2 linked regions of the Oreochromis niloticus genome follow. The protein of the gene in region 2 interacts with the protein of the main gene of each other region in a pairwise test. Links are inferred from orthologs where the notes say so. Each region holds a gene or a part of one and is shown on either strand. Other genes may lie near its edges.

Region 1 (8,311 bases), on a different chromosome or scaffold from region 2:
AGGGCTTACAGGAAGAACCCCCAAAAGGCCATTTTCTTTGTAAGGGACCTTTGTGTCTATCACCATCACTGACTGGTGTCAGGGAAAGTCCCATATCCTTCTGACTATTTACTAGAAAGGATGCTTTTGTATTCACTTTTACTTTTGGTTTTCATTTCAGAAAGCTACACGAAGTCAAGCCATACAAATCTTAATCTTTGTGTTTTATGCATGAAAAAGTCTTATAAAGAAGCAGAAACTTCAACTGATTTCACAAGAATTGTTTAATTTATTGCAGCCTTCACATAAATCACCACGAAAACTAAACTAAACAGAGAAACAAGAAACCGAAAGTGTTGCCGTTCATGAGCTACAGAGAGTCCCAGCAGTGTTTGCATGACAAGAGGTGTCCCTCCACAGATAACAGCAGCTCCACTGGAAGCCACAGTTTTTCCATATGGAGATGCTGTTACAGCTGGTGAGACCCAGAGAAAAACACAGCTGAGAGCACCAAGCCAGACCACAGCATTGGATGTACACTTATTCTGTTGGCATCTTCTATTTCAGTGTTTTCCCTGTCGTATATTCAGTTGACAAAACTGAATATAACCAAAACTTACCTTAAACAACTCCTCTGGGCTTTCCTATTTTTGTGGAACTACCACTACAGTCTGTATTGTTTGCATAAGGGAGGTGGGGGTGGCAGCATCGTGGTCCACTTTTAAATCATATGAATTAATGCTGCCCTCTTTTGGTCATCTGTTTCTGACTACATGAACTTAAATCATTTTTATTACACATGATACTTCAACTCTCATGTCACAATACCACCCACACCCAATAAAGACTTAGTATCATCCACTATTTTATCTCTAATCTTGGCTTTTACTGCCTCTAAGATTACATGTGTCCCTTCTGATGCCAATAAAAATCAGGCTCATTCCCTCCAAGAACACGTGCTCCTAGAAATTAACAGTGGTTGCAGTAACCCTAGTAAAACAAAAGATCTATTGTCCTATTTCTTTTTATATTAGGTGTTGAAATGATCTTTAACACAAGTGGTAAACAGGAGCGAGCATCATTTTCTTGTGTCTAGCTCATCTTCTTCCCAGAATCTCACTGAATATCCTCGCTGAACTTTGACCTTTAATCCTCTCCTTCTGTAAAAAAGAAAAAAAAACACAGAGAACCATAAAGCAATATAAGGGCAGACTGTAGAGAACTTCACCCTATTGTCTCCTTCGACTTTGGCCGCCCTGCTATATATTGTTAACAGATAATTCCATTATGAAGGGTCATTAGCGTCTTCAGATAATGTGCACCAAGAGGCCGAGCACGGAAACTAGAACGAACTTGGTCTGGACAGAGAAAGGTGATGTCAGGAAATCAAATAGCACATATTAAACCAACAGAGTTAGAACCTGCAGAAACTGAAATGTATTCATACTATAATCATTTTTATCTGAACAGGTACAATATCGTCTTTGTTACCGAAATGACACCAAACATCTTTGTAAATTACACACATGTTCACACAGAACTTGTTTGCTTTTGAAGGCACTTGAATTCATTATAAATGAATCATCTAATTTCCTTAAAAAATCCTCTGTGATCAACTGTTCTCATTTTAACATAGATACAAATACATATTACAGGATTTGTCCTACAGTGTGCAAGTAGATTAGATGCATGGTGAAATAAACTGGTCTTGTTAATCTCCTGAGTTAGTTTGCTTTCTAGAACGCAAAAGAAAAGTTAATACTTACCCAGTAAAAGCTGCAGGCAAAGCTTCTTCAGTTATTAATTGTGAAAGGAAAACACAAGACAAGTGAAACCCAGATTTAAAAAAGAACAAAATATAAGTGTGAGGGGCAAAAAAAGACAAACGAATAAATAGTAAATAAGAGCGTTTAAAAAACAAGACACCCAGCAGTGAGCGGAGTCTCTGAGTAATGGTAGGCTCGTGAATGAGGGCTGCTTAAGACTACGTGGGGGAGAGAAAAATTAATCATTACACTTACTGTAAATATGTAACAAACCCAACCTGCACATAAAAGTCAGCAAATTGCATTGTGTTTGAACACCCACGGAGACACGCAGATGAGATGAAATCATACATGCAGCAGAGCAACCAATAAGATCATCTGACCTTCCCATCAGGCCTCCCCCACCCCTAATCACCAGTGGACATAATTCCTCTGCTGACACATTTCACTGAAAGTACATATCCCTCTCTCTCTCTCTCTCACTCACTCTTACTGGGGCGCAATTTATTAAAATCACCTGATTAAATATCTAAATGGAAAGAACATTATGAGATTATTTTAAAGAAACGATTGATGAATAATCAAAATCTGGGCCAACTCCATCAAGTTGTACTGTTTATTCTGGTCTTGGATATATATAAAATCCAAATCTGGACTGGACTTTTGAAGTGACTGCAAGATGATATATGATTTTTTTTTTCAAATGATTTGTAAATTATAGACAATAATAAGAACTTATGTATCCCCCAAAACACAAACCGTTTAAAAATGACCCAGATTTGAAGGATTTTCTATTAACAGTGTTTCTTTACGCTATTGTTTTGAAGATGACCTTTGAAGACAAAGAGTGTTTGCCTGAAACAAATTTGTAAAGTGCATTTGGCTCAAGCTCAAAGTGAGTGATTCCTGCAAACAGTTCATTCCTGCATGTATCTTTGGTCAAAGTGTGAGAACAATAATTGTAAATGAGTTACAAAGGGAGAGCCTCTTTTTCTTCCTCCAAGCCAGTTAGATGCATTTATAAATAGCACATCTAAACCAGTAACACACTCAATGTGTTTCTGATCTCACTGACTTTGACGGGAATTCCGGTTTAACACCCTATTTCACACCAAATTATATTCATTTTAAACCATAAATAGAGGTAGTGAAATAATGATTTAATATTCACTTAATCTTTATTTCAGAGGTAAACACCTTGCATTGTGTATCATTTGACATGGTTTTAGTATCCCGGTATTGATATGCTGCCGTAGCGGTGATGAATAGATGGGGTCAGGTGAACCCTGCAGTAGCTTACGTGTTACTGTTCATTATTTGCATGTTAGGGAGGCTTATTCATACATTTGAAGTATAACTCAGTAGAAGCTCAAGGTGTATACACGTGAAGATAGCGTCGTCAAAGTGTCGCCAGTAAGTGGAGGATCTGTATGTTGTTTGTCTTTTAAACATATTTTAAGACTACAAAAACCGTTCTTCCTAATAAGCGTGAATTTCGCGTTGTTCTGTTTGACCCGTGTGGGCTTCCTTACTGGTGAAGCGGTGCTGTCCGATGTGTGAGTAGCTAACTATCCCTACCTTCACTGGGTATATTAGCTCATATTTCCTCCTTGCATAAATAAACTGGCACGTCAGTTTGCATTTAGCTCAAGTATACAAACTAACATTAACGGCACAAGTGATGAAGAGCTTATTGGAGTTCCTGATTGTTTCTAATCGTGCTAGCCAGCGAGGCTTCCCAGTTAGCTTTCGCAATTTGAACGTTAGCCACATTAAAGCTAATTTTAGCTCTCAACACGATGGTATTTATTATATCAAATAACTGCATATGTGTAGCGGGAATAAATTTGTGTTTTGGTAAGCTGCTAGTAAAGGAATCGTTTATTTATATTCACGTAGTGTTATATTCGGACAATAGTGGTCAGTGTAGCTGCTTTAGTCAGCTAAAATAAAGTCATAAGCTCTTGCACTAACTTTAGTTTGGTTAGAAGTCCTTTGAGTTCTTTTCATCATCAGATGACAGCATTTTACTGGTAAGTTAGACGATGAACTCCTCGTTAACGTTCCTGTATTGTTTCAGGTCAAAATGGCAGAGCTAACAACACTCGAGAGTCTGCTGGAGATGGGGTTTGATCGAAACAGAGCGTGAGTGATCCCTGATGCACACATTTATATTGGTTTATTTGGATTCCAGGTTTGAAGCTGATTTCAAGGAAATGAAACTGAAACTGTCTACATTATCTATCATATTATCATAATCTGTCTTTAGAGAGAAGGCAGTGGCCAACACAGGGAACCAGGGAATTGAGCAAGCCATGGATTGGTGAGTTTAGCACTCAGAATAACAACACACTACTTTGAAACCTCACACATTAACATTTTGTCATCACTTACCCCTGTGCCACAGTCCAGCTCCACATGCCAATTTCCCTCATAAAACTATCCAGTGGTTTTCATTTCCCAATGTAAATATGATTGTGGTGATTGGAGAAAGTGACTGTTGTTTTTTCAATTTAGGAAATATTGATTAACTCTGTAGTGTTGTCTCAAAAAGTGAATTAGAAATGCTTGTGTGTGCCTTCATCTCCTCTCACTTGGAAATCGCTGTTTTCTTGTCGGACTGAAACATTTATTATTCGCATCTAATCTGTGCAAGATTATACTGTGAGGCTTTTAACTCATTATAAACTTTCTCATATCACCCAATTTTTAAAGCTGTCACACTGGTTTCCTGTCAGGATTAGTTTACAGTTAAAAATCGTGGTTCTCACTTTTATGGCTTTATGAGGTGCAGCCACCTCCAAGATTGTCCCCCTGCTACTACTCCACCCCTATTCTTCAAACCAAGTTCTTAGACCGGTTTGTGGTTCCTCACACCCGCCTGAAAACTAACATTCCAAAACTTTGGAATAGCTTGTCACACACTCTTTGCACCCTTGACTTTGTGGTATTATTTAAAAGGCAGTTTAAAACTAATCTTTTCAGACATTTTAGTGGTTTGTGTTTTTTTACTTTGTTTGTGTGTGTCCATTTTGACTTGAAATAGGGTGTTTAAAAAAAAATGTTATCTAGACCTCTGTAAAGCTCTTTGTGACTGTTGGAAAGTAATGCATTTTGTACGTACTCTCCTCAGGCTAATGGAACACGAAAATGACCCAGACATTGATGAGCCCTATGTGCCGCCAGTGGGGAACGTCCTGGGAGGAGAAGCACAGAGCCAGCCTAGCACAGCAGACAGCTCTGAAGGTCAGGAGGGGCAGGAAAGTTTTGAAGGTATGTCATTAAAGGGGCAGGAAAGAAAAGTCACCCACAGATTTTCAGTGTGATTGAATATACCACTAGACAACCTAAATGTATCTACTCTAAAGGACTTTACACACTGGATGTGTAAAATCCATGTGAATATTTCATGTGTTAAAAAATATTTTTTGACTTGATTTGGGTCCAGATAAATAGATCTGACCAATCAGACCGCCACATTTGCAGTAAGTGTGCTCATACTGAATGTGTGCACCTGTGCTGTATATCCAAAAGGAAATGGTAAAATTACACTATTTTACCTTTGATAGCTAGACCAGTCAATCGTATACACATATATGTGTACATATATTTATGTATGTGTGTGCATACAGCCAAATTCGGCTACAGAATATGCACACACAGTAAACATATCTTATCTAGCTCTTTATCTCAAAAATGTTGTTTCAAGTGGTTGAGTCACTTCCTTGGTGTTTCGTTGTGGTTCATTGGCACTGCTGTGGTGTTTTAAGGTTTGTGGTATTTGATTTTAGATGGGCCTCTGGTTTTGCTTTGGTTAGTGGTCGGAAGTAAGCTGTCAAAGTTTTCACGTTGTCTTGCCCGTTTGTTTCGGCTTCAGGAATAGCAGGTGGAGACATCGGCTACATTGAGACCGAGGACGGCGTCAAACGGCCAATGACAGAAGAGGAGAAAAATGAGCAAGTCAAGAGGTCAGAGGATACTCAAAGTGCATTTTGCTGATTGGCAGTGTGCATATTGAATATAGAAGCACGTGCGTAATTTAAGCCTGTGTCTGTTTTTCAGGCTCGAGGAGCTGATGCGGGTGAAGCAGGCGGAGAGAAGAGAGCGAGAGCGGGCAGAAGAGGTGGAGAGGGAGAAGCAGCGAAGGAAGCAGGGCCAGGAGCTGCAGCAGATCCGCCAAAAACTGCAGGATGATGAAATGAAAAAAATCGCTGAGCAGCGTCAGAGGGAGAAGATGGAAGACAAACTGGCAAGGTATGTTTTTCAACAACACACATACAGTTAGAGAACATGTGATAATTAGGTTTGGATAAGGATTGCTTACCGGAGTACATAGAGTCTAATAACCATTCAGTCAAAAAGACACTTCTTTGGCTTCCCTATTGGATGTCCAACATGTTTATTCTCATAAAAACAAACTGTCAGTCTTACAGGCCCAAGACTAGCAAATCACACCATCTCATATACAGCTTGGCTAAAAGGCATCCTGTTAGTTTTTAAATAGGATAATGTTACTCTGCTCGATAATTGTCTCCCAGCATAGTCTCATGACAGATGGATGGGCTGTAGAAGAGCATCAGCACAGCAACAGGACTGGTGTCTGGAATCTGGTGTCTGCTTGTGTGAGGAGGAGCACTGCCAGACCCTACAGAATCAACTTTAAACAGCTATTCTTGTGCATGTTTCTGACCAGGCTGTCGGAAACAGACAACGCAAGGGTGACATGAGGGTCGCGGTGATGTTACAGGGATCATAATGTTTGCTACAATGTCTCCACACTCTTTCACGCCTGACACATGTTCTCTATTTGAAGCTTCTTTAATCTGTGGAGAGAATTTGGGTGTTCTCTGGTTAAAAGCCATAAAACTGCACAGTGCTGGGCTGTGAGCTGATACCACTAACAGATTTCAAGCCCTTGTTTCACCCTCGGTGAAATCATTTTCTGACAGTCTGGTGAGAAACATCCACAAGTAACTCACTGTGGTCACTTCAGCTGAGCACTGGCAGTGGTCCTCCTCACACAAAAGAGCAGATACCAGTCATGCTGTTGATTTTTGTGATGTTTTCCAATGTATTGCAAGCCTAAAATCTGTGGATTTATTTATAAAAAAGCTACAAACTTTTTATCCTAACCAGTTGTTCTCATGAACCCTTTTTGTTAAACATTCAGTTGTTTTAAAAAAAAAGGTAACAAATAACCCAGGAAATAATTTTATCTCTGCTTTACCTATTGGAAAATGTTCACATTCATAAAGATTAACTTGTGTGTGATCAAGTAACTTTGTTCCTTTGTTAACTCTGGTTGCTGAGTCATTGTGTTGCTTATCTTTATTACAAACAGGCAAAGGGTTAAAGAGAAGATAGCAAGAGACAGAGAAGAAAGAGCGCAAAAGGTACTTTTAAAAGTCAAGTTTATTTTAGGTTTATTTTCCATTTCTTTATTCTACCACTTCTATTGGAAACAAGAACAACTTGAACTTATTTTTTTCTGTGAAGTTTGGAGGTGGTGCACCCTCGAGCACCGCTGCATCATCCCAGAATGCCCAGCCCAGTCCGTCTTCACCCACCAGTCAGGGCCCTCCACCCACTAAAAAGGAGTATGATGAATCCAGGATACAGGTACCTAATTCATCATTGATTTTAAAATTTTACTTTGCATATATGTTAATAAAGTTTGAAGTCTGTGCCCCGTGAAACAGAAAGTCACAGGTTTCGATAAATACATATAAAATATGTGCAGGCCTAACCGGGTGTTTAGAATAAAATGGATGATAAGCAGAGTGTGCTTCAGGGCTTAGGGCTTTATATGAAAATGAATCTGCCCCTCTAAAAACGCAAGTCAAGGGTTCAGAGCAGATCTTCGCAGACTAATTGTTGACATCAGGGCGGTGAGGGCCATCTTTTATAAACGCAAATAAACTGGTGTTGTGTTGAACTTTAAAAATATGTACTTAAATTTTTGCTGCTTCTTCACAGGTCCGTCTGCTGGACGGCTCGACCATCACAACAGTCTTCAAGGCCCAGGAGCCGCTGGCGGCAGTGCGCGTCTATGTGCAGATGAACGGCAACACGCCCGAGGGTCAGGACTTCACGCTGCTGTCACCTTACCCCCGTCACGTCTACACTGAACTGGATATGGAGAAGCCCCTCAAAGAGCTGGGTGAGCTGGGGATAGCATTAGGCTGCCGCTTAGCTTATAACTGGATTTGGTATCATCACGTTACATTTTGAAAGTTTAAAAAAAAAAAAATCACAAATTGAAATCCGACTTGCTTTGCTTCTGTGCGTTCAGGTTTGGTGCCTTCAGCTGTGCTGGTTGTTGCCAAAAAGTAAGAACAGGAGGATCTGCTCTGTGAGCCTACCTCACCACTTCCATTACATCGACACCAGAGATACCACAACATGGACTGATCCACAAACAGAGCTGCGGTCTTTTTAATTTCACCCAACAAGCCAGATAACTTAACAAAAGCACAGATGTGTAATTCCTCTCAAAGTGATGATATGGAGGAAAATGGTTCGACTATCAAAAAGAAAAAGGCTTGATTGAATCCATCCTCTTCTGC
Region 2 (8,311 bases):
GACGATGGCAGCAGGAAATGGGTGGAGAGCTTAAACTGTCAGCTGAAACGAGAAAATAAGTCTTTACTCAGTACTCACCGAGAGGATGCCAGTCATCTGTGTGTAAAACAAGGAAGTCATGCCTCCAAACATGACCACGCCCATTAGCGCAGAGATTCGCAGCAGAGCCAGTTCGTGACGTGTAGTGAACTTTTCCTGAGTGAAAGAGAACAGTGCCCTTTGTTGTGAAAACCTCTTATCTTATCATCTTAAAGTTCCATTTGCTGATTTTCCCACTGTCAAATATGAATGTTTATAGTTTTCCATTAGTGTAGCTGAATCTCATAATAAACATGGCCAAAGTTTCAAATAATGAGGTCAGAGTATGAACATCAATCGCTGTAGGAAAAAGGCATTTTTTATACTCTTGGCTCTCTGTGATGTAGGTGTGGGCAGATATCCCTAATATGGTCATCTCAGGTGCACAGCTATGTGAATGGAGCAGCCCCACCCACCTACTGTTTAAACATGCTGGATATGAAGGGGCAGCCAATCATAAGAAAAGTCTTTATTCAAACTGTGGATGAACTGAGAGGCTTCACTGAGGCCCAGTAAAAGGTAAATAATGATATGTTTAAAGTTACACAGCAGAGAATAAAATTATGAAGCTGGACATGAGTAGAGGCCAACTTTTAAAAACAATCCCATGGACCTACCTGGTCTAGTCCTGTCAGGGGCTGGAAGTAATAGTACTGACAGAAGTCCAGCACCAGCGTGAATAAGCTGAGGACCTGAGCATAGAAACACAGCTGCAGGAAGAGCCAGTGGTTGTCCTCTCCCACACAGTTATTAATCCTGCAACGGAAATAAAGTGCATTTAGCAAGTGATCACATATTTGTTTATCACAGCAGTGGACACACATGGCATGCTATGATATGTTCAGTCATTAAATAAGCTTTCAAATCTCAGTAATTGAATAAACAAGAATGGATGGAAGCATGAGGGTAGGTGTTCGTGTATGATTACCAGGGACAGTGGTGGTCCATCCTGCGCACACAGTGGCCACAGCGACTGCAGTGGTGCGACCTTTTAGGTCTCATTAAGTTGCACTTATTGCACAACTCCCAGTGCTCTCTCTCTGAAACACAAAGACAACAAACACTATGTAACAATCATCAATCCGAAGAGAGTTGATACTGCTAGTCGGTACCGGAGTAACAGACAAACTGGACATATACAAACAAGTGGTAAGCAGTGAGAAAAGCATTTACCAGCATGAGGTATGTGTGGGTCCACAGGAAGACGGCCTGGATCTGCCGTGGAAGCTCTGAACAGCGCTGCTAGGCAGAGTCCTGAAGCTATGTAGTAACCTAAAGAAATACAGTGTTTTAATTCCACTGATGGGGTGTGATTGGGCACATTCTTTTCCAGTTTCCAAAGAAACTCATTTTCAGTTTTTCACGTGTCAACACAAAAGGTAAGGAAACTCACAAACAACAATGGCCCAAGGAATGTGTCCCTCATTGTAGTGTGGAAACAGAACCAGTTTGGGAACAAAAAAAGTGTTGTAGAGCCAGATCCCAAATACCATACTGATGCACAGCCAGCCCATAGGATCCACCACGAAGTGCAGTCGAAGCTTCATGGTTGCTGGGAATTCTGGGAAACCTACAGTGTACCAAGCACGCAGGCACACACAAATTTAAGACACTGACAAACATGGTGTGTAGTTCTTTAGTTTACAGCTACTTGAAATGATGTGTTTCAGGCAAAATACCCATCACTGAGACCTGCATTTTGCCCTGCACATTATAATAGATCTATAACTAAACAACAGCAGGATTAAGGATACCTTTATAAGATTTGTACGTACAAGGACATATCAGATACTGTGTGGAATGTGTCTTAAACAAAGGCCTAACCTCTGTGTAATGCAAAGCAGATGTTTATCAACCAGGCACCTGATAGCCTGAGCAATCTACCCCCCAGCTGTCAGACTCCTGAACTCTGCCTCCTGACATCTGACCCACGTTAAACTCATGGACTGAACATACACACACCCACAACCACTAGCACTTTATCACTATCACAATTATCCTAACTGCACTACTGTATAGTTCTGTGTGAATATCATTCTGTACATATGATAATTTTTCAATCCTACAACTGTTTATAACTTGCATAGTTCACATTTCTGTATAACTGTATATCTCAGATTTCTGTATAGTTTTTATTTCATATTTATATCCTGTTCATAGCCTGTACATAGCTTTTACTCACTACAGCCTGTACATACTTATAGTTATAGAATATTCATAACATACTTCACACCGTGTACATTATAACATACCATAATAGACCCATTTCTGTAATATACTTACACATCTATATTATTGCTAATATATATTGTATTATATCTATATCACGGCTAAAAGCACTTTCTGGATGGATGCAAACTGCATTTCGTTGCCCTGTACCTGTGACATGTGCAATGACAATAAAGTTGAATTCTATTCTATTCTATTCTATTCTAACCTTACACTGAATCTTATTATCAGCATTATCGAATACAGTAACACTGCTAGAACACAGTACGAACAGCCCTCATAACCACGTAACCACTACCAGAGCCTCGTTATTTGTAAAGCCTCGCCTGCTCCATCATTCATAGTGCTGAAAACACTCACAATCGTGATGGGCTGGGTTCTATAAGCCTGACTGTGTTAGCTAACATCTACGGGCCAACGCTGCTGTGCTTCACTCGCGTAGATATGAACCAACGCGTTTATTGTCAAATATACTTCTCGTGAGCCAAAATGAAAAGACACTTACTTTTTCGTCCTATTCGGCGAACGAATCAGTGAGACTACTTCCTCATCGCCTCTGTGGGACCTGTTTTGCTACCTGCAATGGAAAAAAAAGTCACACTTCCGGTCACATTTCCAGTCTAAAAAATAAAACCGGAACAAGCATTATTTGCATTTTTTCCTTTAAGTATAAACGGGGATTTAATGGGAAGCATTGAAATTTTTAATAAAGGTATTCTGTTTCATATTACGTAAAACGAAATCATGGAAAACTAAAAACAAACCAAGATACCGAAAATGTTAAATTATTCATAAAAGCAATGATTTGATTAAAAAAAAATCACGTCATTTGCTGGCGAGACTTACGTGTTTATTAAGATGTCCTAAGTCTACATAAAAGCTTGGTATTAACATTAAACTCTCGTTTGACGTGACAGATAACGTTAATATGATTTTTTAAAACAACGGCACTTTTTACGTTTGAGCTGTTTTTTTTACGTCGATATTTCTAGTTTCCTGCTCACTCCGCAAAGTCGGCAGCTTGATATTGCTGTTGTAGCAGGTTGGTGGCGGCCTCGCTCTGCTGCCGCCCTGTGGTCAACTGTGATCAATACATTTTGATAAAATATATTCAAAAATACAAACCTAAAATACAGTTGGAAAAACACTATTCTAATGTTAATGTTATAAACGTAAGACAATTAATATTCAACATAATTAATTAAACATTAGTTTGAAAGGTGCGTCAATCCTAATAATGACGTAATTCAACTTCCGCTAGCAATAGCGGCTGGTGTTTGTTGACAGCGACGCCGCATAGCGTAACAGTGCCACAGTAGTTTCATTGTGCTGTTGAAGCAAAAATGGCATCATCCAATTCGTACAAACTCAGGTGTTCAATCCCGGGCCACGAGATGGACGTCAGGGGACTCGCCGCTACTGTTTTTCCAGAGGGAGCATTCGTGTCGGTGTCCAGAGACCGAACCGGAAGAGTCTGGGTACCAAACTCCAGGTAGCTAGCGCTAGCTTGCTGCTCAGAAACTGCTGCCTGGCTACGATTAATTTCAGGGTACAAGTCACTCTGCGCAAAGAGAGTGACTTGTCCGGACACGAAAAGTGTCAAGGCAAATCACGCCTTACTGAATATTTTACTATTTCTGATTTCATATTTGTAAAAATGGCTAGTAGCTAAGTTAGCCAAAAAGCACAGTGCTAACGTTTGCTCAAATTAGCTTTGTCATTCATTCAGCTGCAACTGTTCTTTTACGAAACACGAAACTGAAACAGATTCGGAGTGTTTATTTTTGTCAGTTAATTTGCCTAGCCATCTTACAAATAAGAGCCAAAAGAACCTAACTTCTTCCCTCAGTAATAATTGTTAACTTTCGTCCTTTTCTCCTTCTGACAGCTCAGACAAAGGCTTCACAGAAATGCACTGTATGTCTGGACACTCAAATTTTGTATCCTGTGTATGCATCATCGCACCCAGTGAAACATACCCTCGGGGACTTGTTGCTACAGGCGGGAACGATAATAATATTTGTGTTTTCTCACTGGACCGACCGCAGCCCATCTTCACTCTCAAGGGTCACAAAAATACAGGTGAGTTGTGCTCTCCTCGCTGTTTTTAGTAGTGAGGATTAACTGCTTGACCTGTTACTCGTCACAGTGTTTCTGGTTCCTGGCTTTCTAACTTTAAACCTCCACAGTTTGCACTCTGTCGTCTGGGAAGTTTGGGACACTTTTGAGTGGTTCCTGGGACACTACAGCCAAGGTCTGGCTCAATGAGAAGTGCATGATGACCTTGCAGGTATGCGGTCCTCTACACTTTTCAGCTTGCTTGGATGGTGATTAGTGTCTCAATTGATTTGAAAAAATTGAGTTTGAAAAAAATTGACAGAACATGTTTTGAGCTTGTTAATTTTGTTACAGGGCCACACTGCAGCAGTGTGGGCAGTGGCTATTTTACCTGAACAAGGCCTTATGCTGTCGGGATCAGCAGATAAGACCATAAAGCTTTGGAAAGCAGGACGATGTGAGAAGACGTTTACAGGTGAGGATATGCAGGTGTATATTGGACTTGGGTTTTTTTGGGGGGGGGGTTGGGCCTTGCATTTTAAACAGATCTGTGTGTATACAAAAAGTAGACTGGCTGATGATTAATATGATTGGTTGTCTGTCTTTGATTATGTGGTTAATAATATAAACCAACAGTATTGTAGGATATTGGACAAAACCATAACTTTGTCAAAGTAAAATTTTAAAATGATAACTGCATATTTTTAGGGTTAAGTTATGGTTAAAAAATATTTCCCTTCCATCATAGGTCATGAGGACTGTGTGAGAGGCCTGGCAGTGATCAGCAACACTGAGTTCTTCTCGTGTAGCAATGACGCAAGTATCAGAAAGTGGCTGGTGACAGGCGAATGCGTACAGGTCTACTACAGCCACACCAACTACATCTACAGCTTAGCTGTCTTCCCCAATAGCCAAGGTTTGTTGATTGTATCAATATTTAAAAACAAGGGATAGAACTGAGAGACTTGAAACCAGCAGTCAGTGGTGCTCTGTGGTTTATTCAGCCGGCTTCCAGTTCTTTTCACATTCTGAGATGGTAGCTACTTCCTACACCCTGCCCTCACCCTTATTTTTTTTTTCCTCTTAGATTTTTATAAGCACAGGGGAGGACCGGAGTCTGAGGATATGGAGGCAAGGAGAGTGCTCTCAGACCATCCGCCTGCCTGCTCAGTCTGTGTGGTGCTGCTGTATTTTACCTAATGGTGACATAGTAGTCGGAGCCAGGTAACAGAGCTGCTTTTGGCATGCTAATATGCAATCAGGTCATAGTGATTTCCTTGATCATGTTACACCGTAAATATTTAAAAGCCCATTAATGACAGTGTTCACTGTCCTCATTCATTGCATCTCTCCTGCATTCAAACAAATGTTGAATGAAGCAGTAAGTAGTTCTGTGGCTAAACCAGAAGCTGCTCCTCTGCCCACAGCGATGGCATTATCCGCGTGTTCACGGAAGCTGAGGACCGCATGGCTAGTGCAGAGGACCTGCAGGCCTTTGAAGATGAACTTTCCAAAGCCACCATCGACCCCAAGACCGGGGATCTTGGTGACATCAAACTGGAGGATCTTCCTGGAAGAGAACACCTGAACGAGCCTGGTAATGCAGCAGGCTGCTATTTATTTTGTCATATAAAACGGTGAAGCTGTTCTCTGTGCATCAGGGTGGATTTGTTTACAACAGGGAATCGCGATGGACAGACACGGTTGATCAAAGATGGACAGAAGGTGGAGGCATATCAGTGGAGCGTCAGTGATGGCCGCTGGATGAAAATCGGAGACGTGGTCGGAGGCTCAAACCAACAGACCTCCAAGAGTGTCATGTACGAAGGAAAGGTGAGGCTACAAGCTCAGAGTCAGTAAGCGGGACGTCGCATATGAGCTGTCATTAATGTGACCCCCCCCCCATCTGCGTGCAGGAGTATGATTATGTATTCAGCATTGATGTGAATGAGGGAGGGCCATCCATGAAGCTGCCTTACAATGTGACAGACGACCCCTGGCTGACAGCGCACAACTTTCTGCAGAAGAATGACCTCAGCCCGATGTTCCTTGACCAGGTTGCCAATTTTATCATTGAGAACACCAAAGGGCACGTGGTGGGACCAGCCCAGCCCGCTGGTGGTGACCCCTTTACTGGTGAGGTCCAAAAGATGGATACTGCTGCTGGCTTCTTTGCTGTACATTTAGAACAATTTCACTGGAACGATTAAGGAATCTTAGATAGGATGTATGATGTGTTTCACCTCTTTATTTGACAGGAGGAGCTCGGTATATCCCTGGTTCTTCCAGTGATACTGCAGGCCTTGGAGCTGATCCTTTTACAGGTATAGTTTGTTTACTCAGAGGTGTTCATAGTCAGAACTTTTATCTGTAAGTGCAGTTTCACAGCTGTGTTTTTTGTTTTTTTTTTCTTCACAGGCGCTGGTCGCTACATCCCAGGGTCAGGCCCAAACCCAGGTGCTCCTGTTGGTGTAGCGGATCCCTTCACAGGTAACTTGGTATCAAAAGGAACAATTGGGACTTGGGAGATACAAGTCCCAATTGTTCCTTTTGATGGAGTTATGAGGCCTGTGTCTCATACTTTTTTCTTCTTCTTTTTTTTTTTTTGCCTTTAACTAAATTGCTCCAGGACTGCAGTGAATTATCGAGTCATTTGAAGAACACAGTTCTTGCTTCGGTACCTAATATAATCCACAACTGTGGAGCTCAGTCATCACCACATAAATAGTTTAACGTGCAGCTCAAGGTCTGTCTACACACACCTTAAAGAGGTGGAGCTGTTACCGAGACTGAGCTCAAGTGGTGTGAAAGAAAAAGGCTTTTAAGTCTCCAAAACAGCAGTGTTTGTTGTTGTATTCACAGTAAAAATCTTTACTAGGAAAAAGATGGTGGAAGTCCTGAATGAAACCAGCTTTTCAACAAGCTCTAGCGTGAAGAAAAGGGAACTTTGGAGCTGCTCCCATCCACCACTGTTTGTCTTACACAGTGAAAAGCTACAGAAGTTAAAATAAAAGTGTTTAAGCAGATTAGCTGTTAACTTAATCTGATGTGATGTTTAAATTAAGCAGCTTACTGAAGGCTGTCATCAGCCGTCCTGCTTTCTGTCACAGCAGCTAGCAGGGGCGAATCTAAAGTGGATACTGGAGTGTGCCATTATTTCAAGGCTTTAGTAACATTACTTTGTACATTTAGATTCATATAAAAAGGTTGGCCATTGAATTAATATTAGCATTAATTATTAACATTTACACCATCATAGCATTTATTTTCTGCAGTAGGAAACATTGCGTGAAAGCACAGAGCAGACCTCTGAGAATGCTGACATGCTCGCTTTTCTTCTTTAATATTATATTTCCTTTCTGTCTCCCTGCTTTGCAGGAGGCGGTGCATACTCCTCATCAGCCTTGAGACAAACAACCAACATCTACTTTCCCAAGACTGATGGTGTGACCTTTGAGCAAGCCAACAGCTCTCAGATCATTGGTAAGCATTTCAGTGTGGTTTGTTAACTCTCGCTGAATAACTTGTGCTTTAAAGTGGGTGATATTTGGAGCCTTCATATATTTTAAGAATTTTTATTTTATTCTTGTCCGTAACGTAGTGTAAGAAAATGTGTTTTCCACCTGTCCTTAACAGCTAAGTTGAAGGAGCTAAATGGAGGTGCTCCTCAGGAGCACAAGCTCTCTGAAGAAGTTCTGGAAAGCCTTGAGAGGCTTTTGTTGTCTGTGTGTGGACTCAACTCCTCTGAGCCTGCTCCGACCATCCAACAGATCAACCTGCTTTGGAAGGCTTCTCACTGGCCTGAAGGTAATAAAAAAAAAAAAAAAAGTCTCATCCCAATTCATGTGTGTTTTAATGCTCTTTAGGTCATTTTTCTTCACTAATAAGACCCCACCCCAATCTTTCTTCATGCTTTGTAGATATTGTGTTTCCTGTCCTGGACATT

The links.
Region 1: the proteins of plaa (region 2) and ubxn1 interact in binary tests that used the Homo sapiens proteins (3 or more experiments, as listed by UniProt). The two-hybrid records come from large-scale screens. The link is inferred for Oreochromis niloticus from reciprocal best matches to the Homo sapiens genes PLAA and UBXN1.

The regions. Positions count from the first base shown.
Region 1 is NC_031966.2:21,047,545-21,055,855, reverse strand, and holds the start of ubxn1 (UBX domain-containing protein 1), read left to right. Parts: upstream 1-3,023; 5' UTR 3,024-3,158; intron 3,159-3,164; exon of another isoform or gene 3,165-3,332; intron 3,333-3,825; 5' UTR 3,826-3,831; coding exon 3,832-3,890; intron 3,891-4,014; coding exon 4,015-4,068; intron 4,069-4,878; coding exon 4,879-5,018; intron 5,019-5,622; coding exon 5,623-5,713; intron 5,714-5,807; coding exon 5,808-5,999; intron 6,000-7,086; coding exon 7,087-7,138; intron 7,139-7,241; coding exon 7,242-7,364; intron 7,365-7,721; coding exon 7,722-7,905; intron 7,906-8,037; coding exon 8,038-8,078; 3' UTR 8,079-8,311.
Region 2 is NC_031967.2:11,157,303-11,165,613, forward strand, and holds the start of plaa (phospholipase A-2-activating protein), read left to right. Parts: upstream 1-3,552; 5' UTR 3,553-3,650; coding exon 3,651-3,799; intron 3,800-4,195; coding exon 4,196-4,389; intron 4,390-4,496; coding exon 4,497-4,597; intron 4,598-4,719; coding exon 4,720-4,840; intron 4,841-5,113; coding exon 5,114-5,292; intron 5,293-5,452; coding exon 5,453-5,589; intron 5,590-5,792; coding exon 5,793-5,962; intron 5,963-6,046; coding exon 6,047-6,198; intron 6,199-6,281; coding exon 6,282-6,501; intron 6,502-6,623; coding exon 6,624-6,689; intron 6,690-6,783; coding exon 6,784-6,855; intron 6,856-7,743; coding exon 7,744-7,848; intron 7,849-8,001; coding exon 8,002-8,172; intron 8,173-8,285; coding exon 8,286-8,311. Other genes in the region: palmitoyltransferase ZDHHC21, read right to left, coding at 79-195, 696-834, 1,007-1,118, 1,252-1,350, 1,472-1,625. UniProt on the Homo sapiens protein: Plays a role in protein ubiquitination, sorting and degradation through its association with VCP. Involved in ubiquitin-mediated membrane proteins trafficking to late endosomes in an ESCRT-dependent manner, and hence plays a role in synaptic vesicle recycling.